Macaca mulatta: one gene and its partners. The protein of the gene in region 1 purifies or fractionates together with the protein of each later gene. This does not show direct contact. Links are inferred from orthologs where the notes say so. Each region holds a gene or a part of one and is shown in the gene's direction. Other genes may lie near its edges. The genes, in order: SMC1A, PDS5B, WAPL, USP13, PLK1, NIPBL and PDS5A.

Evidence for each region.
Region 2: the proteins of SMC1A (region 1) and PDS5B purify together in Homo sapiens (affinity purification with western blotting; 8 studies listed by BioGRID and IntAct, with this or other methods). This does not show direct contact. The link is inferred for Macaca mulatta from reciprocal best matches to the Homo sapiens genes SMC1A and PDS5B.
Region 3: the proteins of SMC1A (region 1) and WAPL purify together in Homo sapiens (affinity purification with mass spectrometry; 7 studies listed by BioGRID and IntAct, with this or other methods). This does not show direct contact. The link is inferred for Macaca mulatta from reciprocal best matches to the Homo sapiens genes SMC1A and WAPL.
Region 4: the proteins of SMC1A (region 1) and USP13 purify together in Homo sapiens (affinity purification with mass spectrometry; 5 studies listed by BioGRID and IntAct, with this or other methods). This does not show direct contact. The link is inferred for Macaca mulatta from reciprocal best matches to the Homo sapiens genes SMC1A and USP13.
Region 5: the proteins of SMC1A (region 1) and PLK1 purify together in Homo sapiens (affinity purification with mass spectrometry; 3 studies listed by BioGRID and IntAct, with this or other methods). This does not show direct contact. The link is inferred for Macaca mulatta from reciprocal best matches to the Homo sapiens genes SMC1A and PLK1.
Region 6: the proteins of SMC1A (region 1) and NIPBL purify together in Homo sapiens (affinity purification with mass spectrometry; 3 studies listed by BioGRID and IntAct, with this or other methods). This does not show direct contact. The link is inferred for Macaca mulatta from reciprocal best matches to the Homo sapiens genes SMC1A and NIPBL.
Region 7: the proteins of SMC1A (region 1) and PDS5A purify together in Homo sapiens (co-immunoprecipitation; 8 studies listed by BioGRID and IntAct, with this or other methods). This does not show direct contact. The link is inferred for Macaca mulatta from reciprocal best matches to the Homo sapiens genes SMC1A and PDS5A.

The regions. Positions count from the first base shown.
Region 1 is NC_133426.1:53,229,506-53,233,005, reverse strand, and holds part of SMC1A (structural maintenance of chromosomes protein 1A), read left to right. Parts: intron 1-1,799; coding exon 1,800-1,956; exon of another isoform or gene 1,957-2,006; intron 2,007-2,359; exon of another isoform or gene 2,360-2,394; coding exon 2,395-2,549; intron 2,550-2,671; coding exon 2,672-2,823; intron 2,824-3,500. UniProt on the Homo sapiens protein: Involved in chromosome cohesion during cell cycle and in DNA repair. Central component of cohesin complex. The cohesin complex is required for the cohesion of sister chromatids after DNA replication.
Region 2 is NC_133422.1:12,352,437-12,356,408, forward strand, and holds the start of PDS5B (sister chromatid cohesion protein PDS5 homolog B), read left to right. Parts: upstream 1-1,172; 5' UTR 1,173-1,316; intron 1,317-1,793; exon of another isoform or gene 1,794-2,167; intron 2,168-3,972. UniProt on the Homo sapiens protein: Regulator of sister chromatid cohesion in mitosis which may stabilize cohesin complex association with chromatin. May couple sister chromatid cohesion during mitosis to DNA replication.
Region 3 is NC_133414.1:63,337,176-63,340,675, forward strand, and holds part of WAPL (wings apart-like protein homolog), read left to right. Parts: intron 1-687; coding exon 688-1,206; intron 1,207-3,500. UniProt on the Homo sapiens protein: Regulator of sister chromatid cohesion in mitosis which negatively regulates cohesin association with chromatin. Involved in both sister chromatid cohesion during interphase and sister-chromatid resolution during early stages of mitosis.
Region 4 is NC_133407.1:91,683,384-91,687,651, forward strand, and holds the start of USP13 (ubiquitin carboxyl-terminal hydrolase 13), read left to right. Parts: upstream 1-1,468; 5' UTR 1,469-1,534; coding exon 1,535-1,702; intron 1,703-4,268. UniProt on the Homo sapiens protein: Deubiquitinase that mediates deubiquitination of target proteins such as BECN1, MITF, SKP2 and USP10 and is involved in various processes such as autophagy, endoplasmic reticulum-associated degradation (ERAD), cell cycle progression or DNA damage response.
Region 5 is NC_133425.1:23,232,285-23,235,747, forward strand, and holds the end of PLK1 (serine/threonine-protein kinase PLK1), read left to right. Parts: exon of another isoform or gene 1-56; coding exon 57-212; exon of another isoform or gene 213-1,250; coding exon 1,251-1,328; exon of another isoform or gene 1,329-1,847; coding exon 1,848-2,002; exon of another isoform or gene 2,003-2,090; coding exon 2,091-2,273; exon of another isoform or gene 2,274-2,456; coding exon 2,457-2,660; 3' UTR 2,661-2,963; downstream 2,964-3,463. Other genes in the region: ERN2 (serine/threonine-protein kinase/endoribonuclease IRE2), read right to left, coding at 3,443-3,463. UniProt on the Homo sapiens protein: Serine/threonine-protein kinase that performs several important functions throughout M phase of the cell cycle, including the regulation of centrosome maturation and spindle assembly, the removal of cohesins from chromosome arms, the inactivation of anaphase-promoting complex/cyclosome (APC/C) inhibitors, and the regulation of mitotic exit and cytokinesis.
Region 6 is NC_133411.1:38,161,966-38,165,465, forward strand, and holds part of NIPBL (nipped-B-like protein), read left to right. Parts: intron 1-2,760; coding exon 2,761-2,949; coding exon of another isoform or gene 2,950-2,990; intron 2,991-3,500. UniProt on the Homo sapiens protein: Plays an important role in the loading of the cohesin complex on to DNA. Forms a heterodimeric complex (also known as cohesin loading complex) with MAU2/SCC4 which mediates the loading of the cohesin complex onto chromatin.
Region 7 is NC_133410.1:39,196,302-39,200,276, reverse strand, and holds the start of PDS5A (sister chromatid cohesion protein PDS5 homolog A), read left to right. Parts: upstream 1-1,175; 5' UTR 1,176-1,634; intron 1,635-1,664; exon of another isoform or gene 1,665-1,841; intron 1,842-2,481; 5' UTR 2,482-2,521; coding exon 2,522-2,659; intron 2,660-3,975. UniProt on the Homo sapiens protein: Probable regulator of sister chromatid cohesion in mitosis which may stabilize cohesin complex association with chromatin. May couple sister chromatid cohesion during mitosis to DNA replication.

The DNA.
Region 1 (3,500 bases):
AGTGAACTTTATGTGGCATCCCTCCAGGAGGTACATCATGTCAGGATGTGCCCACTATTAGTGATACTGAGTTTGATCCCTCAGTTAAAGTGTCAGTTGCTAGGTTTTTCAACGCTAAATGTACACTTTTGCCTTTGTCATTAATTAGTAATCTTTAGAGTGATGCTTTGGCATTTTGTGAATATCTTGTTCCCCAAAAATTTTTTACCCAGTGGTTTTCACATTTTGATTAAATTTGTTTTAATAGTTATATATAACATCTTTATGTGTTTCTAAAACCAAAAGTATAAAACAAGGTACATGAAGAGAATTCTTGCTTCCATTCCTGTCCCTTTCACCTCTCTTTCTCGATAGATAACCCTTTAATTAGTTTTTGGATTATTCTTTTTGTTGTTGTTATATGTTTAAAATACAAATATATTTGTATTCCCTCTACCTTCACTTAAATAAGAGATAGCGTACACTATTGTGTAGCTTTCATATTTGACTTAAAAACCTATCCTGGGGCCGGGCACGGTGGCCCGTGCCGGTAATCCCAAGCACTTTGGGAGGCCGAGGCGGGCAGATCACGAGGTCAGGAGGTTGAGACCATCCTGGCTAACATGGTGAAACCCTGTCTCTACTAAAAATACAAAAAAAAATTAGCCAGGCGTGGTGGCGGGCACCTGTGGTCCCAGCTACTTGGGAGGAGTTAGCCAGGCATGGTGGTGTGTGTCCGTAGTCCCAGCTACTTGGGAGGATCACTTGAGCCTGGGAGGTAGAGCTTGCAATGACCAGAGATCATGCCATTGCACTCCAGCCTGGGTAATAGAGCGAGACTCTGTCTCCAAAAAAAAAAAAAGTGTATTCCTTTTCTCTGTCTTCACTTGTTCATCCTGTAGTCCTTAGCTTAAACATATTCCTGGAAGCCTACCTTAATTTTTATCACCCGATGAGGTAACCAACCAGAACGCCTCAATGCAGGTCACATATTTCTTATTCTATATACTAGTGGGATCCTTCCCTCTACTTATTATACTTATTTATACCTAAAATACCCTAGGCTCACTAAACATAATAGTACTAACATTCACCACTCAAGAACTATCAGTCTCCTGATCTCTGAGTTAGGTGTCTTTCTTGTGAGCTGATTCAACATTGCCTGCTTATCATTGTTTTCACATTCATCCTACAGTATTCTGGTTGTTTACTTATCTGCATTCCTCTGTTAGACCCCTGAGCTCTGTGAGCACAGAAACCAGGGCTCACAGGACAGGATGGCCCCAGTGCCTGGCACTTGGTAGGCAATCAGTAAATATTTATTGACTGAAAGTGGCAGAAAGGCACAAGCCCAGACATGCATTGCAATATCCATAAGAACTAAAACTAAACTCAAATGGAATTTGCTCAAATGTAGTGATCTAAGCAGAAAACGTGAATTGCCTTACTTATTGTGGAGCTGTAAGTGGAGTCCAGAGCAGCCAGCGTGGGAGCCTCCAGGTCACCCTGGGGTGGTACTGGCTCATGGCTTGGGCTGAGAGCCAGAGAGGGGCACCACCAACTGCTCCTCCTGAGAGACAAAGAGGTCGGCAGGGCCTGGGGGAAGGGCTAGAGATTAGAAAGCAGCCTCAGCCTATAATTTCCAGAGATGGTGGAAATGGTTACTATGGGTAGGATCTGATGGAAGGAACCAAGCTGGAGAAGAAGAACCTGCCCTCCATATAGGAGCAGGCACCCAGGCCACACTCGGTCATCTCTCGGTGGGGGCCTGGGCACAGGGGCCAGGCCCTTCTTGATGTTGCTGGGCCTGGGGCTTACAGGATGCCCAGGCTGAGGAAGAGATCAAGCAAGAGATGAACACACTGCAGCAGAAGCTGAATGAGCAGCAGAGTGTGCTTCAGCGTATTGCCGCCCCCAACATGAAGGCCATGGAAAAGCTGGAAAGTGTCCGAGACAAGTTCCAGGAGACCTCAGATGGTAAGATTTACCCTTCTACTTGGGCCTATGATAAGGACAAGAGGCTAAAGGTATGCCACGGGCCTGCTGTACATCACAGCAGTTCCTGTTCTGACATGCTTTCTTACTTAAAACTCCCAGGAGCCCTAAACAGTAGGGGTTATTACACCTGCTTTATAGAACAGAAAATTGCTGAGGTTCCCAGAGGGTAAATGACCTGTTCAAGGTCACGTAGCTGGTTGCTGGTAGAACACAGGGAGGAATCCATATTTGTGTGGCTGCAGGCCCCTGTTTCTTCCTCTGCATTGTATCCAGTGGCCAGTCCACTGGATACAGATCCTTCTGGGACCCTCCTCAGGCATTCCTCTCTCTCTTGGTGGGATGTCCCTGCTCTGGATTGTCATTTGCAGGTCCTTCTTGCCAGGGCACTGAGGGGTCACCTGTCTTTCTTTCTGGCAGAGTTTGAAGCAGCCCGAAAGCGAGCAAAGAAGGCCAAGCAGGCATTCGAACAGATCAAGAAGGAGCGCTTTGACCGCTTCAATGCTTGTTTTGAATCTGTGGCTACCAACATTGATGAGATCTATAAAGCCCTGTCCCGCAATAGCAGTGCCCAGGTAGGCTGGAGCCCCTTACCCAACCAGCTGCTACCATCCTCAGTTATCTTTCCCTCTAGGCTTCCTGTCCCTATCTCCATCCAGACTCAGATACAGATCCTGACCCATCTGCCTTTCCCTAGGCATTCCTGGGCCCTGAGAACCCTGAAGAGCCCTACTTGGATGGCATCAACTACAACTGTGTGGCTCCTGGGAAACGCTTCCGGCCTATGGACAACTTATCAGGCGGGGAGAAGACAGTGGCAGCTCTGGCCCTGCTCTTTGCCATCCACAGGTAAGGCTGATCCCCTAGGTCAGTTGACGAAGACTGAACTGAGGCCACCAGAGGCTCTGGGGCCCAAGGATACACAGAGATCTGCAAAGGTGAAGATAGTTTGGTGGAATCTGGATTGCATCCCTGTTTCACTATCTACTGCAGCGTATCTGGCTTTGGTTTTTCTGGACCTGTCTTCCCCATCCACCCTCATCCGCTCAGCATGCCCTCACCGGCCTCTGCATGTATTCAGTCCCACCTCCAGGCTTTTGCTCACAAGGTTGCTGGCTAATAATCCCTTTCCATGTAAATCTAGGTTGATCATCACCTTTCACCCCTTCACCCTTTCTCATTCTCCTCCCCTTCCTTTAGGAAGCCCTCCTTGATCACTGTGTCATACCCTGACCTTCCCCTCCTGAATGCCAGTACTTGAGTCTGACTCCTGCAGCTTATATTGCTTGATTGTACAGCATCAATTTCTTGAGTGCTGCTCTGTACCAGACCCTGCGGAGGGATTAGGTACACAGATGTATCAGACAGGGTCTCCGGCCTCGAGGAGCTCACAGTCTAGCAGAAGCCAGACGCATAAACAGACATGTGCTAAGTGTTGTAACCGGGTGAGCATGGGTGCGATGGATACACAGAGGAGGTACACTTAACCCAGTCTGTGGGGAGGGTGTGGGTAAGCCAGGGAAGAC
Region 2 (3,972 bases), on another chromosome or scaffold:
AGTAACACAACATATTGGTCTAGCAAGCACTGTAGGAGACTGAAGCGGAATTGTCCAGGAAATCCCACAAAAATGGAAATGAAGAGGTCTCAGTATCTCTAGGTGCAGAAAGGAGATAGCCTTCAAAACAGCTACATGGTAAGGGTGAATGAGGCAATTACCATTAGGACAGACAGAGGAAAATGCACCTAGTATCTCTAGGTGCACAGTAACATTAGTTTACAGATCAGCATTACCTATCTTTTCTTTCAGTTGATAAGTATCCTATTGTAATCCATTCATTCACCCTTTGCTTGTTCATTGTTGAAACAAATTCTCCCTGGAACAAAATTCTAGTAACCAAATACATCATATCGGGGGAAACTTCCTTACAGGAGGGATGATATTAAAGTAAAAAGAGGAGGAAGTCCCTTCTTCAGTTCTGGCAGGGGAGGAAAAGCTTCCCCAAAGGTAGGTGATCTGTTGTGACCAGGCTAAACCCACTTGAGGGACTGGCATCCCCGAAAGGTGAAGAGGGGAGGAGACCCACCTCCTGGAATGTGTCCCTGTGGTCTCCAGATGATGTCTTCCTCTAATAAGGACAATTCTGCCAAAGGAATAGAATGCTTCGTCACAGGCTCAATTACTCTGTGTCTCCGCCAGCTTACCACCTATGAACAATTCATCAAATTAGGAAAGCGGGGAGATTTAATAAAGACACAACACATAAAGTGTAGGAAAACTATTTGTATGGCATTCCGAGACGACTAGGTCAGAATTAACAAGGAGCAAAGTAGTTAATAATACCAATTATGTTAACCTAGCACAACACCTGTGCTGAATGTCAGTGTTTAAAAAAATCTCCCAATCTTTATCTAAAAAGATAGGGCTACGTAACAATCGGAATGATTTTTGTCGGTGGAGGTCTAGTAAGCTGCAAGGGTAGTGGACGCCTTGACAGCTGCCAGTCTCGCGGCCTCCGCGGCGGCGTGCCCGTGTGGCTGCGTGCGCGCGGACGGGGCGGGGCTGAGGAGGGGAGTGCGCGCGCGCGGACGGGGCGGGGCGGAGCTCGGAGGGCGGGCGCGCGCGGGGCCGTCTGGTCGGCAGGGGGCGCTGCGCACCCATGCCGCGCTCTGCCTGCCCCCGGGTGCTGTCCGCGGCGGTTCGATTGGAGCAGCCGCCGAAGAGCGCTTGGCGCCATTTTGAAGCGGAGAGGAGGAGGAACGGCCGGGCTGGCTGCGGAAGGGGAGGGGGGAGAGAAGGCGATTGGATGCGGCGGCGGCGGCGGATCCCGGAGAGCCGCGGAGTGAGAGGAGTAGCGAGTCGGAAACCCGGAGGTAGGAAACAATTCAGTTAACGGAAAGAAAATGTCTCTCTTCTCTGGCCGCGGCGCTCCATTTTTCGGTGGCCGCCACTGCTGCTGTGTGTGTGTGTGTGTGTGTGTGTGTGTGTGTGGCAGGGCTGAAGCGCCGCCCGCCCGGGTGCCAGGCGCGACTCGCCTCCCGGCATCGGGGGCTGCAGCGGGCGGCTGCCTGGCGGCGGCCCGGGGCGGGGGTCGCGGGGCGCGGGCCGGCTGCGCGGTGGGGGTGGGGAGGGCCCCGCGGCCGACTCGCGCCTCCACGCCGCGGGCTCTGCCGCAGCCTCTGGAAATTAAACTTGCCGCTCTGATCCCGGCCCGGGCGGCGGCGGCGGCGGGCGGTGACCTTGCGCGCGGGCTGGGGTCCCGGGGCCGCCCGGCCGCCCGCGCCCTCCCGCCGCCACCGCCGCCGCCGCGCCCCTCCCCCCGCGCCCCGGCCGGCCGGCGGCTGTTTCCCGGGCGGCAGGCGGGCGGCGCGGTGCTCCTGTTGAATCCTCCCGCGGGCGGGCTTCTCCCCCTTCCGGGCGAGGGGCGGGCGGGGACCGCGGGTCGGGGCCGCGGGCGCCCTCGCCCTCGCCCTCGCCCTCGCCGCCGGGTCCCCGCGCGCCGCCTGGCCTGCGCTTCGGGCCAGGGGACGGGCTGAGCATGACATTTTTGCGCTGTTCCTCGCTGCTTGCCCGAGGGAAATCGCGCTCACCGCGCCGCCCGGAGTGGGTGCTCGGGGAACCTGAGGACCCCGTTGAGCAAGAGCCCAGCGCTGGCGTGGAGGGACTCCTCCCAGGCGACAACTGGGTTCTAGCTTTCCTTTCGGAAGGAACGGCGGGGAAAATGGTGTGCAATTGTGACTCGTTAATGTTTTTGCACTGTTATTTTAATGCTACTTTAAAAGTTTTCGGTCCGGAGAAAAACCTTGTTTGTTGTTGTTGCTGCTACTGCTGTTGGTTTTTGGTAGAGACGTGAAAGCTAACTCAGAAGTAGCTCGACAGTTATTTTGGAGGAATGACTGAAACCAGAAACGCCGCCCCTCGCCTTCGGAACTGCAGGCTGCTGCGTTCCTTGCCGCGGACGGGGCGAGCTCCGGGAAGGGTTGAAAGAGCAGCTACCCACCCATTCCGCGCGCGTCTTCAACAGCCTCTCTACCCCAGCAAGGGTTAACCCTTTTTTATGTCGAAGAAAGTGCTTCTTGTACTTTTAATAAGAGGTGATGGATGGGCAGTGGTGCCCCGACTGATCCTACCCTGTCGATGAAATAGTTTCGGAAACTTTGGATATAGCTTTAATTTAGAGGGTTGGTCTGCGGTGTGGAGAGAGTTGGGTAATCCTATACCATCTTCCTAATAAACTTCAAAAACTCACGTTGTGTTTACATGCAGGAGGCGAGCTGTAAATAAATCGTCATTACCCAATACTTGAACGGCAATATAGTCGTTGTTCTCAGTTAACCCATCCAGAGTTCCCAGACAGAACGTTTTTTATATTAACTCATGTAGTGGTCAGGTAAACTAGTTAAAAGCCACAAATATGGACTTGAAAGACAGCTCGTTATGCAGTACACATGTCTGAGATGTTCCCATCTTTAGGGACAATGAAATGAGTATTCAATGGTGTATGTGGGTCAGTTCGTGGAACAGTTAATCTTGTATCTCATGGTGATAGCAGAAAACCGAATTAAAATTTGTAGTGGTGAATAGGTGAAAGTTACATGGGACCTTTTATGTTAAGATCGATTGATTGTCAGAAACTAAAAACATTTTAAGAACGTTATTCCTTAGAAATAAGATTTGTGCTTGATATACGTTTACAAGTATATGTAAAAAGATGCACTTTAGACTTTATAAAAATTATCCAAATAGTGACTTTTTCCTCCTTTTTCTGATGGTTTAAAAAATTGTCCTCTTCTCAGCTGGCGTTTACTTAAAGGTGTATTTTAAATGGGAAGGTAGTGTTTGTGTTCACCCTTTTTCTTTTTTTCTTTTCTCCTTGTTTTGGTTAAGGCTGATTTTCCCTATATTACCTTTTACAGCAGCTTTTGTTACTCTTGTCGCCTTTATTCTCTCGTGTTATGTCTCTCCCCTCTCATTTTTACCCCCGTATTAGAGACACATGTACTGATGATAGTGATTCTTGTCGTGAGATGTTTGTATTAAGCTTACTTGTAGTAAGATTCTACCGAGTTGGCTGTTTGATGAAAGTTGTTTAAATTGTTCTGCAGCTTTGTTTAACAAAGTAACATTTTGAGGAGTAGGCTTTATCAATAATTTGTTAGGCCTAAGATAAAGTAATACTTTGTGTTAGGGCTTGCCCTGGAGAAGAATGCAATGGTAGAAAATACCCAAAACTTTGTGAGAAAGGAATATTTCGGGAAGTTGTATTCTTTCTGCTTATTCCTCTTGGGAAATTTAGAGACTGCCTTAGAACTAACAGGAGTGCGCTCAGTAAGATTTGGCTTATGGACTCTTGAATGACATGGACTGTATATAACTTATATTGGAAAAGTTATTTATGTTTCCTCCGTTAGTGTTAGAGAGCAACAAGAAAACTTAAGGATGATCTCCAACTCGCTTATACATGAGAAATTCGGTTCAGATTTTAATTTCATTGATTTATCTGAGGTCACAGTCGTATTCATGTGGTGG
Region 3 (3,500 bases), on another chromosome or scaffold:
ATTAGTGCCATGAAATTTCAAAGAACTAAATTTAATCAAGTATTGGATATTTCTGAGGCCCTGAAAAAAATTAACATTCTGTGCTTAAGATTTTATATAGGTAATTACCCTATATAGATTATTATAACATCACTGCAACCTCCATCTCCTGAGTTCAAGCAGTTCTCCTGCCCCAGCCTCTCAAGTAGCTGGCATTACAAGCGTGTGCCACCACTCGCAGCTAATTTTTTTATTTTTAGTAGAGACAGGGTTTCACCATGGTGGCCAGGCTGGTCTCAAACTCCTGGCCTCAAGTGATTTGCCTGCCTCGACCTCCCAGCCTCTATACAGATTATTTTTTAAGGTAAAAATGATGTTTATAAGAATAGCAAGTTGATTCATTTGGAGCTTAATACGTTTCAAGTTAGCTTTGTGGATATCGTATTATAAGTTGGTTAATCATTAAGTTTTTTTACTTTGTAAGTAGCATAAGAATATGTACTCATTGTAGAGGAAAATTGACATGGAAGCATGTAGAGTAATAAATCAGCCTTTCTTTATACCCCTTCCTCATATTTGTTTGTTTAAAAGTCTGTGGTGATGTCAAAAGTCATGAGGGAATAATCCCTAGGTTTTTATTTTTATAGCACTGTTTAACACTTGTTGAGTATTTGATGATTATATGTTTTCTTAAATTTTTTTTCACAGAATATGAAACTGGTGTCAAAATGACATCCAGATTTGGGAAAACATACAGTAGGAAAGGTGGAAATGGCAGTTCAAAATTTGATGAAGTCTTTTCCAACAAACGGACCACCCTTAGCACAAAATGGGGAGAGACTACATTTATGGCTAAATTAGGGCAGAAGAGGCCCAATTTCAAACCAGATATCCAAGAAATTCCGAAGAAACCTAAAGTGGAAGAAGAAAGTACTGGAGATCCTTTTGGATTTGATAGTGATGATGAGTCTCTACCAGTTTCTTCAAAGAATTTAGCCCAGGGTAAGGGTTCCTCTTACTCAGAATCTAGTGAAGCTGCTCAGCTGGAAGAGGTCACTTCAGTACTTGAAGCTAATAGCAAAATTAGTCATGTGGTGGTTGAAGACACTGTTATATCTGATAAATGCTTCCCTTTGGAGGACACTTTGCTTGGGAAAGAAAAGAGCACAAACCGAATTGTAGAAGATGATGCAAGCATAAGTAGCTGTAACAAATTAATAACTTCAGGTAAGTTTTGATTTTCTTTATTCTCAGCCAAGAGGGCTTCATGCAAGCAACTTTTAAAAATGATTTAACTTCTAAAATACATACTGTGTTTTCTTTCTGCACTTAGGATAAATGGGGACTATTGATAGTTTTGTAAAAGACATTTAAGAACTTTAAAGAAACCAGTTGGAGGTTGAAATAATAAAACAACTTGGATATTAATGTTTATAGACTGTTGCTCAGGGTACATTTTGGGAACAGTCATACGTTTCTAACCCCGATTCCAATAAGAAATATCTCTTTTTGTTGTGTTAGGATCACGGAGTATCTCATTTCTATTACTGTGGAGGATTTGGATGGTTATTGTTAATGAAAATGAGATGAGTACTTAAAATGAGGATTAGTTAACAATGGTAGACTCTCTGCCAAAACTAGCTCAGAAAGATTAAGGAGGTATTGAGTGGAGACATTAAAGAATTGAACTTGATTCCAAATTGAGATTAGTTTGGGGCCAGTAGCAGCTTGTATTGATAGATTTATTTATTTTGAGACGGAGTCTTGCTCTGTCGCCCACGCTGGAGAGCGGTGGTGCCATCTCGGCTCACTGCGCGCTCTGCCTGCCAGGTTCATGCCTTTCTCCTGCCTCAGCCTCCCAGGTAGCTGGGACTACAGGGGCCCACCACCACGCCCGGCTAATTTTTGTATTTTTAGTGGAGACAGAGTTTCACTGTGTTAGCCAGGTTGGTCCCGATCTCCTGACCTTGTGATCCGCCTGCCTCGACCTCCCAAAGTGCTGGGATTACAGGCGTGAGCCACCGTGCCCCGCCGTATTGATAGATTTTAAACCACAAAACTGGTTGTATTTTAAAAATGTTAATTTGTAAATAGAGCATCTAGTACTCTCTCCTAAAACGATACATTTTGTTCTGTCTCCTGTAAGGGATTTGAGATTTATAATAAGTGAAAAAGGTACAATTAACTAAAAGACTGAAGAGCTAATATTGAGGGTGGCAGGGAAGAGGTGGGGTAGAGAAGTGGGAGCACTCTATCAGCATTAGGATAAGGGTGGCACTATACTGTAATTGAAAAGAAACCTTAGTTCTTGACATCTTGGCAAAGTTTAGCAATAATGAAAGGTTATAAAAATCTTCCTTTGAAAGGAAGTAAACACAAACACAAAACTTTGCTGTACTGAATTCTTTTTTTTTTTTTTTTTTTGAGACGGAGTCTTGCTCTGTCGCCCAGGCTGGAGCGCAGTGACCAGATCTCGGCTCACTGCAAGCTCCGCCTCCCGGGTTCCCGCCATTCTCCTGCCTCAGCCTCCCGAGTAGCTGGGACTACAGGCGCCCGCCACCTCGCCCGGCTAGTTTTTTGTATTTTTCAGTAGAGACGGGGTTTCACCGTGTTAGCCAGGATGGTCTCGATCTCCTGACCTCGTGATCCACCCGTCTCGGCCTCCCAAAGTGCTGGGATTACAGGCTTGAGCCACCGTGCCCGGCCTGTACTGAATTCTTAAGGGGAATTTGTCCTTTGAAGGTTAAGGCACATGAAACAGTACAATGTACTGGGCTTTGCATAGTTTTACTAAAAATGTTGAGCATTTTTTCACTCTTTCTCTCACTCTTGGATGAGACGATGAGCCAGCTGTTACTGTCATTCCTTTGATCCTCCGGGTTAATTCTAATTTGGCTGTCCTTACTGCTTTGCCCACATTTCTCCTCAGGCGTTGTTGGCAAGTTTAGGTTAAATTTCCATTAAAAAGACGGCATAAAGGGCCTGTGCAGTGGCTCATGCCTGTAATCCCAGGACTTTGGGAGGCCAAGGCGGGTATATCACCTGAGCTCAGGAGTTCAAGAGCAGCCTGGCCAACGTGGTGAAACCCCATCTATATTAAAAATACAAAAAATTAGCTGGGCGTGGTGGTGGGTGCCTCTAATTCCACCTAATAGGGAGGTTGAGGTGGGAGAATCACTTGAACCCAGGAGACAGAGGTTGCAGTGAGCCAAGATTGTGCCCCTGCACTCCAGCCTGGGCAACAAAGCAAGATGCCATCTCAAAAAAATAAATAAATAAATAGCATAAACAGCATGAAAACTGTTTTCAGGTCAGCTTCTAAAAATACATAAATGTATGTTAAAATCATCAAACTTTGACACAGAGTCTCACTGTGTTGCCCAGACTGGAGTACAATGGCGCCATCTTGCCTCACTGTAGCCTCTGCCTCCTGGGTTAAAGTGATTCTCCCACCTCAGCCTCCGCAGTAACTGGGATTATAGGCACCTGCCATCATGTCTCGATAATTTTTATATATATAT
Region 4 (4,268 bases), on another chromosome or scaffold:
TAATTTGCATTTAATCTAAGATTAAATTTTTAAGTTTCGTAAAACCAAGTCTATCTCTGTAATTGGAGAAAACATCATCCATGAACCTGAAAGGTAATAAGCTGATGAGACTAAATTCAAAGCAAAAGCTCGCTGAGAGTATCTGCCCCAATGATGAAGATGACAATAGTGTCTGATTTTTTGCTCAGTGCCACCTCCTCCGTTTCCAACAGATAGCATTTGGGAGTGATGAGTTATAAGAAAGTGTGGTGCGCTCCAAGCTTGCTTGAGGGTATGGAAATCTCGAGACAGGTCTGGAGAACCAGGGAGAGTTAACAGATAAATAATGTAAGAAAAAAAAAAAAAAAAAAAAAAGAACTTAAGGACTGTCTGATCTGGGAGAAGTTTACAAAAATTAGCGTTTTGGTTCACTATTTCTCGCTCTTTCGGCGTTTCATTAACTGGATACCCTGCTATGAATATATATATTGGGTGTAGTTAAGAGAACCTCTATGTCACTAAAACCGTCTTATGAGTTTTTTGGAGAAAATGAGAGGACGCTGGGAGACATGCTCTGCTTGCAAATGATCAACCCCCCAGCCCAATCCCATTCATCATTGATTTTGAGGAACTGATGAGTAAGACAGGAATATGTATGTTTGCCTACAAAATCCTCAAATCAGGCCACTGAATGTTCGACATGGGAACTTTGAATCACATAGAAGATACTCCAAAGGCCGAGAAAAATAGAAAGCCTCCCGACGCCCTGAAAAAATCTTGACCATCTCTGACTTCCTCCAATAAGAAAACCTATATTATTATTATACACACGCACACACACCCTCTATCCTCACTCGATCTTGTTCTATTCTATTTTTGAGCTTTGGATGTTAAAGTAAGGAACGAAGCTTAGTGGGGAAACACCGAAGTGCATGGCGCAAATTTAGATTTAAGCCTCACGTTAGATTCCAGATTTGCACATCGAGTCCTGCCCCTACCCAATCCGGGGACGTCACCGCTCTAGTCTTTGGCTGTTTTAAAAGCAAGCGGTTTTTAAAACCCCCAATCCTCCTCTTTGTGTTTGCCTCCTCGGAGTTGCCCCTCTGCAAGCCAAGAGTTCGGGATAGAAAACACCTACGTGGTGTTTTCCCGGGGCTCTCCCGCGCCGCAGTCGGCCGCCAGCCCGCTCGGGCTCCCGCGCCGACGCCTCAGGGGCTCGCCCTCCGACCCCGCCGCCGAGCCCGGCCCGCTCGCAGGGCCCCTCTCCAGCTCCCCCTCCCCGGCGCGCTGCGGCTGGCGCTCCCCAGCCCCGCCTGACGCTGCAGCTGGGCCGGAGACTCGCCATTGGATTAAAAATAGCAGCGTCGCCCGCCCGCCCCGAGCCCCCGGTGCCCGCTCCCGCCCTGCGGCCCGCTCTCCCCGCCCGCCCCGGCTCGCCCGGCTGCGGTCGCCCGCGCAGCCCGCGCGTCCGCCCGCTCGCTGGCGCCACCGCCGCCGGCGGACAGCGCGCTCCGGCTCCGGCTCGGCTCGCTCGGCTCCTGTGCGTGCCGAGGCCATGCAGCGCCGGGGCGCCCTGTTCGGCATGCCGGGCGGCAGCGGAGGCCGGAAGATGGCTGCAGGAGACATCGGCGAGCTGCTGGTGCCCCACATGCCCACGATCCGCGTGCCCAGGTCCGGCGACAGGGTCTACAAGAACGAGTGCGCCTTCTCCTACGACTCCCCCGTAAGTGAGGCGCCTCGGGGGAGGGTCGCGGGGCCGGCGGCCTGCGGCACGTGAAGCCGGGGGAGAAGATGCGCAGTGGCGGCCGGGGACCTCTTCTCTTTCTCTGGGCGGCAGAATTGGCTCAGGAGCACTGCAGTTCGGCAGACAGTGAGCGCCCCAGGGCTGCTGCAGCCGAGGACTGGTGGCTTTGCTCCTCCAGCCTCCCCAGGCTGGAAGGGCCCAATTCCCAGCAGCTTGCACACAGCCCCGCCGCCGTTTAAAGATAGATGAGGTCCAAGAGTTCCCTGTTCCGAACTGCACGTTGCAGATCGTTTGCGTCCTCCCCGGGGCAGAGCGCAGGGCGGGTAGGTGGACGGGATGATTCCCCCACACCCCCGGACACACAGCCCTTCCTTTTGTGGGACCACTTGCTTTGCTCAGGGATCCCCACTCCTGGACAATTCTGATTTGCTCTCTGAGCTTTTCTTCCACCACTTCCCATTTCACCCTACTCCTTTTCTTGCCTTTAGAATGTCAGGGCCGGGCGCGGTGGCTCACGTCTGTAATACCAGCACTTTAAGAGGCGGAGGCGGGCGGATCGCCTGAGGTCAGGAGTTCGAGACCAGCCTGGCTAATATGGCGAAACCCCGTCTTTACTTAAAACCCCCCCAAAATTAGCCGGGTGTGGTGGCGGGCGCCTGTAGTCCCAGCTACTCGGGAGGCTGAGGCTTGAGAATCGCTTGAACCGGGAAGGAGGAGGCCGTAGTGAGCCGAGATCGCGCCACTGTCCTCCAGCCTGGGCGACAAAGCGAGACTCCGTCTCAAAAAAAAAAAAAAAAAAAAAAGAAAAAGGAAAAGAAAAAAAAGGCAGACGAAACCTTCCGGTGCCTCCAATCGGGCAGCAGAAATAGGGGATCTACTGGATTGTGATGGTTTTCTTAAGCCTTTCCCCCTTACCCTTCTAAATGAGTCACTTGGACTGACATGCTCAAGTATAAATTATTAAAAGTTCAATCCCGAGTCGTGACCTCGGAGAATGGAGGAGGAAGCTGAGAGGGATCGCCGCCTTCTACCCGGGGCGGTTGGTGGTGGTTTTCACCTGGTTCTATGTGAAAGTGTGAGAAGCAGCAGGAGGGTGAATGTCCCTTTCAAAAGTCAAAATAGGCTTCAAAGTGACTCAGCTGTCTGGCGTTTATCATGTCTTTTTGAGGACCAAGTTATTTTTATCCACCCACTTTAGATCTCATATGTCACCCGGCAGATCTCAATGCATTGGAAGGCGCATGGATTGGATGGACCGAGGCAGGTCTTGCAATTGTCCAATACCTTTGATTCATAGTATGTGGAGTATTGTCAGAGGGGAAAAGAAAAGTCCAAATGAGCGGCAACATTTCCAAAGTTTCCTTTATTATCTGTGGGTTGATTTTGGCTGGCTGCAAAGGATTTTTGCTCGATACACATTGGAGTATCAGGGTTAGTATCCTCTCTGTGACATTAGTTTTTTTATTTATGGTAATTACATATCATTTGAGGGATAAAACCTAACTTATTTTTTGACTGCTTACTTTTTTTTATTTCGAAAAGATCCAGAGTGGAATGTGAGAATCGGCAGTCCTTTCTTAGTATGTTATCCATAAATTATTTGAAAATGCCATTTTCAGATTGTATGGCCAGTGTTGGGCAGTTCCTAAAGTTGGAGAGGGATGATAGTGGTAACTAACCTAAGCAATTGACAGACTGTTACCTCCACGAGGAAGAAAGTGGCTTAAGTCTTTTAGGATAGCATGACATGGAAAGTGGGGTCAAATGACTTTCCCCATGTTTGATTTGGGCTCTTCTTCAAATTCTGTTTACAAACTTTGCTCTTGGAAGTTTTTGCTGCATAATGTAGTGGATAGCAGGTGTGGAAAAAAAGGCTGATTTTTAAAATTCACTTCCACAAATAGTTATTGGGAGCTTACTGTGTGTTTCTAGAATGTTACTATTCTAGAAACATCTCGTCCAGTGTAGACTGATGATTTCAGTCACATCATAGCAGTTCCTTGTGGGAGACTGGGATTAATTTACAAGGCTGATGAATCAGTATATTTCATTATCTATGTTTCGGGCAGGAAGGGAAGGAAGGTTTGATAATATTTATCTTAAAGCACAGTGCTTGATAATGAGAAGTTTTTTTTTTTTTTTTTTTTTTTTTGAGATGGATTTTTGCTCTTGTTGCCCAGGCTGAAGTGCAATGGCATGATCTCAGCTCACTGCAACCTCCGCCTCCTGGAGTCAAGCGATTCTCCTGCCTCAGCCTCCCAAGTAGTTGGGATTACAGGCGTGTGCCACCACACCAGGCTAGTTTTGTATTTTTAGTAAAGACAGGGTTTCGCCATGTTGGTTAGGCTGGTCTCGAACTTCTTACCTCAAGTGATCCACTCACTTTGGCCTCCCAAAGCACTGGTATTACAGGCATGAGCCACTGCAACCAGCCAGTATTTTGTTATGGTATGTAACACTACACTGTGAGTCCAATAAGGGTTTCTTCAGCACCTACTATGTGCCATCTCATACATGCATGACTGTAAGGACCGTAGAGAGCAAA
Region 5 (3,463 bases), on another chromosome or scaffold:
TGTGGCAGGGGAGTCCTATGCCCTTCCCAACGCCCCTGTTTTTGTCACCTTTCTAGGCTTGGAGAACCCCCTGCCTGAGCGTACCCGGGAAAAGGAAGAACCAGTGGTTCGAGAGACAGGTGAGGTGGTCGACTGCCACCTCAGTGACATGCTGCAGCAGCTGCACAGTGTCAATGCCTCCAAGCCCTCGGAGCGCGGGCTGGTCAGGCAAGGTGGGTACTGCGGGGCCCTGGGCGGGGCAGGATTGCTTGGGGCATCTGGAGAAGGCAGGAGGAGCCTTGGCCAACAAAGCACTGGTGACTTGTCCAGGCCCTGTCTCCATAGGACCATTGGTTTCCCCATTTCCTGATATCCGAGGCCCTGCTTGCTGTGGCTCCTGCCTTCTTTTCTGATCCGTCTCTTACTCTAGCACCTCGATGTGCCACCTTCACACGCTGTTTCTTTTGCTCAGTAAGTTCCTGTTGTTTCTTCAAGACCCTTGAAATAACAGACCCAGACGTACTGCAGCCTCAGGGCTTTCTCCCTGGCCCTGGCATGAAAGCACTTCTTCCAGACACCACATGGCTCACACTGTGGCCTCCTTCAAGTGTCTGCTCCGGTGTCACCTCCGTGAGCATCTCCCTGGCCCCTCTGCTGGTGCTTCGCATCCCCTTACCCACTGCATAGTTTTCCATAACACTTCTCACCCAACATAGTCCAACACGTCCTTCTTCTTTGATTGGATTTAAAGTAAGGTGTTTGTTGCATGCACTGAATATAACATTTTAATGTGTTTGCAGCCGGCGTCTGTCTTCACAGTTTCCTAATTACTCCAAACTGGAAAACTAGATGTCTCTGACTCTTACCATGATAGAAGTCACTGATATTTTGCCCATACTTAATTTGATTAGTCTTTGCCCCTGCAACCACAGTGTAAGCTCTGTGGAGGCTGGGGTTTTGTCTGTTGCTCACTGTACCTGCAACAGTGCCTGGCACGGTAGGCCTTCAGTAAATGGGTCAGTGGAATGAAGGAGTGAGTGGAACTTGGTGCGCTGTGTTGAAACTTTCTGTGTAGAGATGTCTATGCTGCTGCTTGTCTGAGCCTGTTGGCAGCAGAGGCCCTGCTTTGCTCTTCTCTGGGGCCCTAGGCCTCTCAACTGAGCCCAGGTGGTGTGCCCAGCAGGCTTCCTTGTTCCCTGGTGTGGGCCACATGTGTGGACCAGAGAAGAAGAGGCTGGTCCTGACCAATTGTCTGTCTGTTTCTGTCTTAGAGGAGGCTGAGGATCCTGCCTGCATCCCCATCTTCTGGGTCAGCAAGTGGGTGGACTATTCGGACAAGTACGGCCTTGGTAGGTTTCTTCCAGAACCAGGTGGGTGACTCAGGCACAGCCAGGTGACCTTTTCAGTTGTTACAGGCTCTGGCCTTTTTGAGCTCCCAGGTACTCTTAGTGCCCTCCTTTCTCCATCCCAGGCCTCCCAATTCCAGCTCCCAGTGCTCCCCGACTCCCCAGCCTTTTTCCCCCACTGCCCAGAGACAGGGTCCTACTCTGTCGCCCAGGCTGGAGTGCAGTGGCACAGTCATGACTCACTACAGCCTCAAACTTCCAGGCTTATGCCTGGCTGCAGGCTCAGCCTCCTAAGTAGCTGGGACTACAGGCATGCACCATCACGCTCAGCTAATTTTTAAAATAGTTTGTAGAGATGAGGTCTCATTACATTGCCCAGACTGGTCTCAAACTCCTAGGCTCAAACAATCCTCCCCCCTCAGCCTCCCAAAGTGCTGGAATCACAGGCATCTGCCACCGCACCCAGCCCCACTCCCCACTTTCTATTCCCCCTTTCTGAGACCTCTCTCCACTGATCCCTAGGGTATCAGCTCTGTGATAACAGCGTGGGGGTGCTCTTCAATGACTCAACACGCCTCATCCTCTACAACGATGGTGACAGCCTGCAGTACATAGAGCGTGACGGCACCGAGTCCTACCTCACCGTGAGTTCCCATCCCAACTCCTTGATGAAGAAGGTAAGTGCCGTCCGGCTATTGCGGGAGTGGGACCTGTGCTGGAGGGCGAGACTCTAATTCTGGAACCCCTCACTTACTTTTCATCCAGATCACCCTCCTTAAATATTTCCGCAATTACATGAGTGAGCATTTGCTGAAGGCAGGTGCCAACATCACGCCGCGTGAAGGTGATGAGCTCGCCCGGCTGCCCTACCTGCGGACCTGGTTCCGCACCCGCAGTGCCATCATCCTGCACCTCAGCAATGGCAGCGTGCAGATCAACTTCTTCCAGGTGAGCTGGATGTCACCAGGGGCAGGAGAGAGCTGGGGTAGGCTCCACGTGCTTGGCAGTGGCCCATGTGAGTTGAGTATGGAGTGAATGGCTCAGGTACCTATAACCTGTTGTGTCTTCCCTCTACTCCCTAACATACACTGGCCTCTGGGATCAGCAATCCCTGCCCCTCTTCTCTTGCAGGATCACACCAAGCTCATCTTGTGCCCACTGATGGCAGCCGTGACCTACATCGATGAGAAGCGGGACTTCCGCACGTACCGCCTGAGTCTCCTGGAGGAGTACGGCTGCTGCAAGGAGCTGGCCAGCCGGCTCCGCTATGCCCGCACTATGGTGGACAAGCTGCTGAGCTCACGCTCGGCCAGCAACCGCCTCAAGGCCTCCTAATAGCTGCCCTCCCCTCCGGACTGGTGCCCTCCTCACTCCCACCAGCATCTGGGGCCCATACTGGTTGGCTCCTGCGGTGCCATGTCTGCAGTGTGCCCCCCAGCCCCGGTGGCTGGGCAGAGCTGCATCATCCTTGCAGGTGGGGGTTGCTGTGTAAGTTATTTTTGTACATGTTCGGGTGTGGGTTCTACAGCCTCGTCCCCTCCCCCTCAACCCCACCATATGAATTGTACAGAATATTTCTATTGAGTTCGGAACTGTCCTTTCCTTGGCTTTATACACATTAAACAGATGTGAATCTTCTTTTTCTTGTATTTCCTGAGGGGTGCCAGGGCCTGGGATCCAGGGAACATCTCTGCTTCATCAGCCCCAGGCTGCCCAGCCTCTGCCAGTCTTGTGGGGGGTAGGGGGTGACAGTGTCTGTGGACCAGACTGGAGTGCAGTGGCATGATCCTGGCTCTCTGCAGCCTGGAACTCCTGGGCTCAAGCGATTCTCCCACCTTAGCCTCCCAAGCAGCTGGGACTACAGGCGTGCGCCACCATGCCTGGCTAATTTTTCAAATGTTTTGTAGAGGTGGGGTCTTGCCATGTTGGCCAGGCTGGTCTGGAATTCCTGAGCTCAAGTGATCCTCTCACCTCAGCCTCCCAAAATGCTGGTATTATAGGCGTGAGCCACTGCACCCAGCCTGGCAGTCTTTTCTGATTCTGATTCTGAGGCCAGCCACAGGCTCAGCTCTTCAGCTAGCCAGCATGGAGACCATTTGTGTGGCCTCCGGCCCACCTCACCTCCCTGCAGCCCCAGG
Region 6 (3,500 bases), on another chromosome or scaffold:
AAAGTTTTTACTTCTCATAAGGGCTTTTTTGACAAGTAAATGTGGGGGGCTGGTGGGGAGATAACTATCTCCTTTACATTGAATGTAAGCTTCATGAACTGTCAAGATAATTTTTCTCTATGTGGTTTTAATGAGTTACTTTAAGCTTGTCTTTCGCATTGCACCTATGGCATCCTAATTATTTTTTCTTAGGAAACAACAGCCCACGAATAGTTTTATTTTAGTGAAAATGAAAGATAATAGGAAAACCCGTGTGTGTGTTTTGTAGTTGTCCCCTGGTTTCCACAGGAAATTGGTTCCAGTCCCCCCATGGATACCCAAATCCTCCGATATTCAAGGGCCTGATAAAAAGTGGCATAGTAGGCTGCGTGAGGTGGCTCACACCTGTCATTCCAACACTTTGGGAGGCCATGGCAGGTCAGAGTTTGAGACCAGCCTGGGCAACATGGCATATCCCCATATCTACAAAAAATACAAAAAATTAGCTGGGGGCAGTGGTGTGCACCTGTAGTCCCAGCTACTCAGGAGGCTGAGGCAGGAGAAGTGCTTGAGCCTGAGAGGCAGTGGTTACAGTGACCTGAGATTGCACCATTACACCCAATCCTGGGTGACGGGAGTGAAACCCTGTCTCAAAAAAATTATTTAAAAAATATAGTATTTGCATATACGTACATCCTCCCATATACTTTAAATCATTTCTAGATTACTTATAATACCTAAAGCAATGTAAATGCTATGTACATAGTTGTTATACCACATTTTTTTTAAGTTGTATTATTTTTTATTGTAATGCTGGGTTTTGTTTTGTTTTGTTTTGTTTTGAGATGGAGTTTCACTCTTGTTGCCCAGGCTGGAGTGCAATGGCGTGATCTCGGCTCACCATAACCTCCGCCTCCCGGGTTCAAGCGAGTCTCCTGCCTCAGCCTCCCAAGTAGCTGGGATTACAGACATGCGCCACCACGCCTGGCTAATTTTTGTATTTTTAGTAGAGATAGGGTTTCGCCATGTTGGCCAGGCTGGTCTCAAACTCCTGACCTCAGGTGATCCGCCAGCCTCCCAAAGTAGTGGGATTAGAGGCATGAGCCACCACACCCGGCCAGTGCTGTTATTTTTGTTGTGGCATTTTCCAAATAGTTTTTGATCCGCTGTGGGTTGAATCTGCAGGTGCGGAATCCGGGGATACAGAGGGCTATGTTTTTAAATCAGAAAAATACATGACTTATATGTCATAAAAGGTAAAACTGCAAACAGTCATCCTCTTACCCTGTTTGGCCATTCTGTTCCTTTCTTTTCTGACAACCAATATTATTACTTTTTCATATGTTCTTATATGAGTAATGCCAATATATATTTGCATACATTCTCACTTAACAAGTATGCAAATGTATGTATATAAAATGTGCTTTTAAAATAGAGACAGAGAATAGACTAGAGGTTACCAAGGACCAGGGAAGGAAAGAACAGGGAATTATTGTTTAATGAGGACAGAGCTGTGACGTCCAGTGATTTAAAAAAACAAAGAAAGAAACAGCTCTGGAAATGGATAGTGGTGATAGTTGTACAACATGCCAATGAATTATACATTTAAAATGGTTAAACTGGTAGGCTAGGCATGCTGGCTTAAACCTGTAATCTTAGCACTTTGGGAGGCCTATTGTCGGAGGTTTGCTTGAGTCCAAGAAGTCCAAGCCAGCCTGAGCAACAGAGCGAGACCCTCTCTCTACAAAAAATACAAACATTAGCCAGACATGGTGGTGCGCACCTGTAGTGCCAACTACTGGGGAGGCTGAGGTGGGAGGACCACCTCAGCCTGGGAGGTGTAGGCTATAGTGAGCCATGATCACGCCGCTGCACTTCAGCCTGAGTGACAAAGTGAGACCCTGTCTGAATTTAAAAAGAAAAAAAAAACGTTAAGCTGGCAAATTTTATGTTATTTCTATTTTACCACAATATAAAAGTTGTTTAAAATGTTTTTTAAATTAGAAGACTGTCCTAAAAAATAAAAATAAAGTTTTATATTTTAATCTACTTAGTTCAGGTGCAGTGGCTCCCAAGTACTTTGGGAGGCTGAGGTGGGCAGATCACTCGAGGCCAGAGGTTTGACACCAGTTTGGCCAACATGGCAAAACTCCATTTCTATTTTTCTTAAAAAAATTTTAAAAATCTACTTTAAAGCAAGTAGCTGAACATAGAAAATAAGAATTTTTGAGCTAAGAATATAATCTACACGGTGGCTTTCCTATTATTCATTGACTTTGCAAACCTTACATACATTAAAATTTAAAAATATTTTAGTTCTCATTTAAAATTTTTCAACATTCTCTGCTTTCTCTTATATCCTCTTAGCAGAGAGCAAAGAGGGGAGATAACTAGAAAATGTCTGTCAGTAATTGTCACCTGGTTGCTTGATGTCTTGGACCAAGGGTCTGAAAACTCTGGCTGTTTTTGTATCTAACCCATTGCCTATTTTTGCAAATAAAGTTTTACTGAAAACATTCATGCCCACTCATTTATTTGTCTGTAACTGCTTTCATACTACAGTGGCAGAGTTGTGTAGTTGTGACGGACTATATGGCCTTCAAAATGAAAAATATTGACCACCTGGCTGTTTACAGAAAATGTTTACCAGCCCCTAACTTAGATGATGGCTAACATCTGTTTCACACACAGCAAACTACTGCCATAGAAAACATTTAGGAATTTAACAATCTTGCTTGAAATATTTACTTAAAATTCTGAAATAATATCTATTTTTTATAGTTCAAACTTCTCATGGAACATCTGGACCCTGATGAAGAAGAAGAAGAAGGGGAGGTGTCAGCTAGCACAAATGCTCGGAACAAAGCAATTACCTCACTGCTTGGAGGAGGCAGCCCTAAAAATAATACAGCAGCAGAGACAGAAGATGATGAAAGTGATGGGGAGGATAGAGGAGGAGGCACTTCAGGGGTGAGGCGGAGGAGGAGTCAACGTATTTCGCAGCGTATTACGTAAAATGATTTTTATGTGCTTATATATGTCAGTCTATTAAATGTACAACCAAGTAATGTAATACTTAAGAGAGGAAACATTTTGTAGATAGAGATTCTCTACTTACCCATTTATACATCCTTTTGTAGAAAGTTTAACATAAAAGACAATAAAAAAAAACAGAAATGAGATTTATCCAGCATAAAGGGTTAATTTTTCTTTGAATTGTATTAATGTGTGTTATTTTTATTGTTGCTAAGTTTTATGTAGCTTTATGGTTCATATGTATATATAATTTTATATATCAATAAGAGTAAAGACACGGGTACAAATTAAGAGTTATATGGTTTTACAAGTATATGTTAACCCCTTGGCGCTGGCGGTCACGGTGCGTCTCATTGCCGGCAATGGAAGTGTGCCGGGAAATCCCAACTCCCGGCGTCAAGGGATTAAAAGCAATAAAAACAATAATTTCACTAAAATTCTTTTGTGTAACACTTGGTCTTTTTTCCCCCCTCCCAATGTTTTAG
Region 7 (3,975 bases), on another chromosome or scaffold:
ATGGATTCTGCCTGGTACTGTAAATGCCCAAGAACAAACCACTGACTTTTGGGCAGAGTTCTAGCAAATCAGCAACTGGAGTGTCAGATTCGCAATGACTGCTCTCTTGTGTAAAACGTCAAAAACAAGTTAGTGAGCTGCAGTACCTTTACTATTTTTAAGTTGACGTTAAAGGATGTGGGAAAAAAATAGACCAATGGATATCCATCAAGAATAATTTGAATAAACAAACGAATATCATTTTAAACTATGGTAGTGGTCAGTTTCAAGAGCTGAATGCGATTTCATATTATTGTATCCTTTTTTCAACTTCCTCTTCGGAAATTTTGTGTATGCTCTTGATTTTTTAAAAAATAGGTAAGTGTATGCTCTTGCGTTCATTTATTTCACAAACATTAATGCTCAAACACTGCTGCGTGCACTTTTTTTACCTGATAGTTTTTTCCTTTGGATGACAGAAAACGTTAATGCTTGGTAGGTTTAAAACATTAAAAAAAATGAGTTCTTCCTTTTTGACAAGAATCACCTACCTAATTAATAAATGCTTATTTCTGGGTTCCACTCTCAGAGATCCTCGCTTTTTTATGTTTGGAGTTGGAAACCTATGTTTTCAGCCAGTACCCAAAGCGATTGTGAGGCCTGGTGGCCCAAAGATCATACCTTGAGAACGACTCGACCCAATGCTATTTTCATGTTTTGCAGCTTTCAAAATATTAACTTCAGAAATCTAAGGACGGTGGGCAACTCGGGTGCTGTCAGAAGACCCGAGAGTGAGCCGCTCACGCTGTGCCCCGTTGCACAACTTTCCTTGACTTTCCAGATCTCTCCCTGAGGAAGAAATCAGTTCATTTTCACCGAGCAATTAACTACTCCCAACCGGTTCCGTCTATGTCCCTCAGGATGACCCCCCAAAGTCACCAGCTCATCGCCGCTGCGAAAATAAAGCGCTGTTTGCCCCGCGTGCCCCCGCAGGGCCGCGGGAACCTGGGCTCGCTTCCCGCCACCCGGGCTCCTCCTCCTCTAGCCCTCTCCGGTCGGGTCCTCCCGGAGGCGCCCCGCGCGGCAGGTATTGGCGCCAACCGGGTGGCGGCGCTGTCCGCCCTGCGCGCGGCCGCCTCGGGCCCGAGGGAGGCGGATGCACGGCCGGCGGAGGAAGGGGAGGGAGCGAGGAGCGCGCGCTGCTCTCGCGTGCTCTCGCGCCGCTCGCGTGACCGGCCGGTGTGTGCGCGAGGGCCAGCTCCCGGGGCACGGACGGCCGGGCGCGCGCCGCTGCGAGGGGCGTCCGGGTCCGAGTCGGCGGTCCGGGCCGGCGCGAGGTGCGTGCGGGCGGGCTGCGGGGGTCCCGGGCGGACACACGCGCACACGTTCCCGGAGGAGCCTTCGAGGCTGCTCTTCCTCGGCCAGACGGAGAGCGGCACTGTCTCCCCGCCCAGCGCTCACTCGCCCCGAGTCTCCCCCCGCAGCGGCTGCTCCTCCTCGGCACCGCCAGCCCCAGCGCCGCTCCCGGGCGGGCGGGCGGCGGCGGCGGCGGGACCCGCGGAGCCGCTTTGTGTGCAGCCCGACGAGGGGCGGCGGCGCAACCACCTGACAGAGGCCCGGGCGCTCGATGCACCTTCCGCCCGCATGAGGAGGAGGTAAAGGCGGCGGTGGCTCGGCTCCCGCCCTAGGCTGCTGGAGGGAGGGGACGGAAGAGGAGACCGGAGGGGGGCCGCGGGTCCGAGGCCCGGTGGGGCCGCCCGGGGGTGCCGGAAAGGCCTTGGCGGTGCCGGAGGCGCCAAGCGGCCGGGGGCCAGAGAAGCAGCTGGGGTCCCTCAGCCGAAGTTGAAGGAACAAAATGTGAAGTGCGGAGCCGCGTCAGCCGCTTCCTGGCGTGGGGCTCGGGGTGGAGGGCGGCTTGTTTTCCCCTCCCGCGGGGGTGAGGGAGCGGAACAGGGGAGGGGCGGCAGTGCGGCGGGGACTACCCCGGGTCCGAGGCTCGGCTGGGCAAGGGCGTTTTGTTCCCGGGAGCCGCCGCTGCGCGTGGGTCCGCTGGGTCCCTAGTTTTGCGGCCTAAGCCGAGCCGTATAGGCCTCGCGTCTGCTTTCCCGGAGGGGACTGGCCGGGCGGGACTGGGCGCTTCCCCACGGCCGAGCGGGGGCCTTGGGGTCCTTGCCGGCCTCCTGAGGCCGCCAAACTTCGGACCTTGGTGCTCGGGGCTGGGTTTCATTGTGAAAGACGGAATGGGAAACTCCTGGCGCTGTTCGGCGCCTCCCGCGGCCGCGGCTGCTGGTGCCGAGGAGCCCCGTGAGCCTGGGGCTGGCTGGGCTGGGGCTGGTGGGGCCGGCGGGGTTCGAGCCCTGGGAAAGAGCGGGTGGCGAGGCCGCTGCCGGGTCCCCGGCGTCCGGGGAGAAAGGGCCTTTTCCAGATTAGAGAGATTTGAAATGAAAAAAGAGGTTACAAAGTCGCCCCTTTCCCGCTGAACTTTGGTTTTCTGACCGATAGAGGCCGGTAGAGGACTGTGAACCAAAAGTTGTCCCCCAGGATGGACTTCACCGCGCAGCCCAAGCCTGCCACTGCCCTCTGTGGCGTCGTGAGTGCCGACGGGAAGATCGCTTACCCTCCGGGGGTAAAAGAGATCACCGACAAGATCACCACTGACGAGATGATCAAACGCCTGAAGGTAAGCGTCTGGACGGATTGTTCGCTCTTCAGATGTCTTTGGTAGGAGGTGCTTTCTCCTGTCATATTGCTACCCTGCTCGTTCTGGCCTTTAGAGTTCCAAGTTTTTTAGATCTCTTACGCCCTGTGAAAGGTACTGTTGTATCTCAGATAAGTTATCTTTGAGTAAGCTTTGTAAGGACATAACCATTGTGGGAAATTTAAAAAGAGTGTGATTTTTCAAAAACTTCCTGGTTTTCAAGCATGAGAATTTGTGTGTTTTTAGAGTTTTTTCTGGAGGTATTTAATGAGAATACTGTTCAGAGTGGCTTGCACACTTACGTGTAGGCAGTAATTTGCCCAAGAAGTTTCCTGTTTTCAACTTGTGAGGAGGACTGATTAAAGCGCAAAGTCCTTTTTAAAAATTTGCATAATTTTCTAGTGTCCAGAAGCTTAAATATGTATATATTGTGGTTAAACTTTGACAGAAGGTACACTTTTCATAATTCAGGCTTAAAGTAAGATGATTTAAGTCTATACATAGTTCAAAGGAGTTTAAGAGTATTATGGCTCTTTTTATGAGGTGTCAGCTAATTTCGTTTAAGCATGGCAGTCCTAAGGTTAAGGTTTTAAATTTCAGCCTCACGTTTGTAAGGTTTTTTGGTTTCTGTTCCACTGACATAGATTGTGGCCAGAATCTTACCAAATAAGTGATACTCTTCTTGTAGGATCAGCTTGAAGCAGTGGTTCTGAGTCAGGGCAACTTTGACCTCCAGGAGATGTTTGGCAATGCTGGAGACATTTTGATTGTCACAATTGGTGCTAGATTGGAGTAGGGAAACACCAGAGGCAGTGAGTCCGGCTAGGAAACTATGAACAGTAGTCTAGGTGAAAGACGTTGAAATCTTCAGATAGGGCTATGGCATTGATAATAGTGACTAGGAAATGATTTAACAACTTTTCAGAGTTAGAATCAATCAGAATTGGTGGGAGGTGAGGGAAGCAACATTGTTGACAATGTTTCCATCTTGGGCGACTTGGCGAAATGTATTTTAGGGAATGAGCTTGGCCTCTTGCTCTTGGAGCCCAGTAAATGTACCTAATGTTGCATTTTAATTAGTACAGTGTTTAAAATGTTCATGTGGTTTAGTTTTCAAACTCTAATTTGGTTGTGCAATTTGTTGCCTTTTTGGAAGGAATAAGACAACAGTTTCTTTCATTAAAACAAATCTATGTGCAGTGGTGTGATCTTGGCACACTGCAACCTCCACTTCCCAGGTTCAAGCTGTTCTGCCTCGGTCTCCCAAGTAGCTGGGACTACCGTGCGCCACCTGGCTA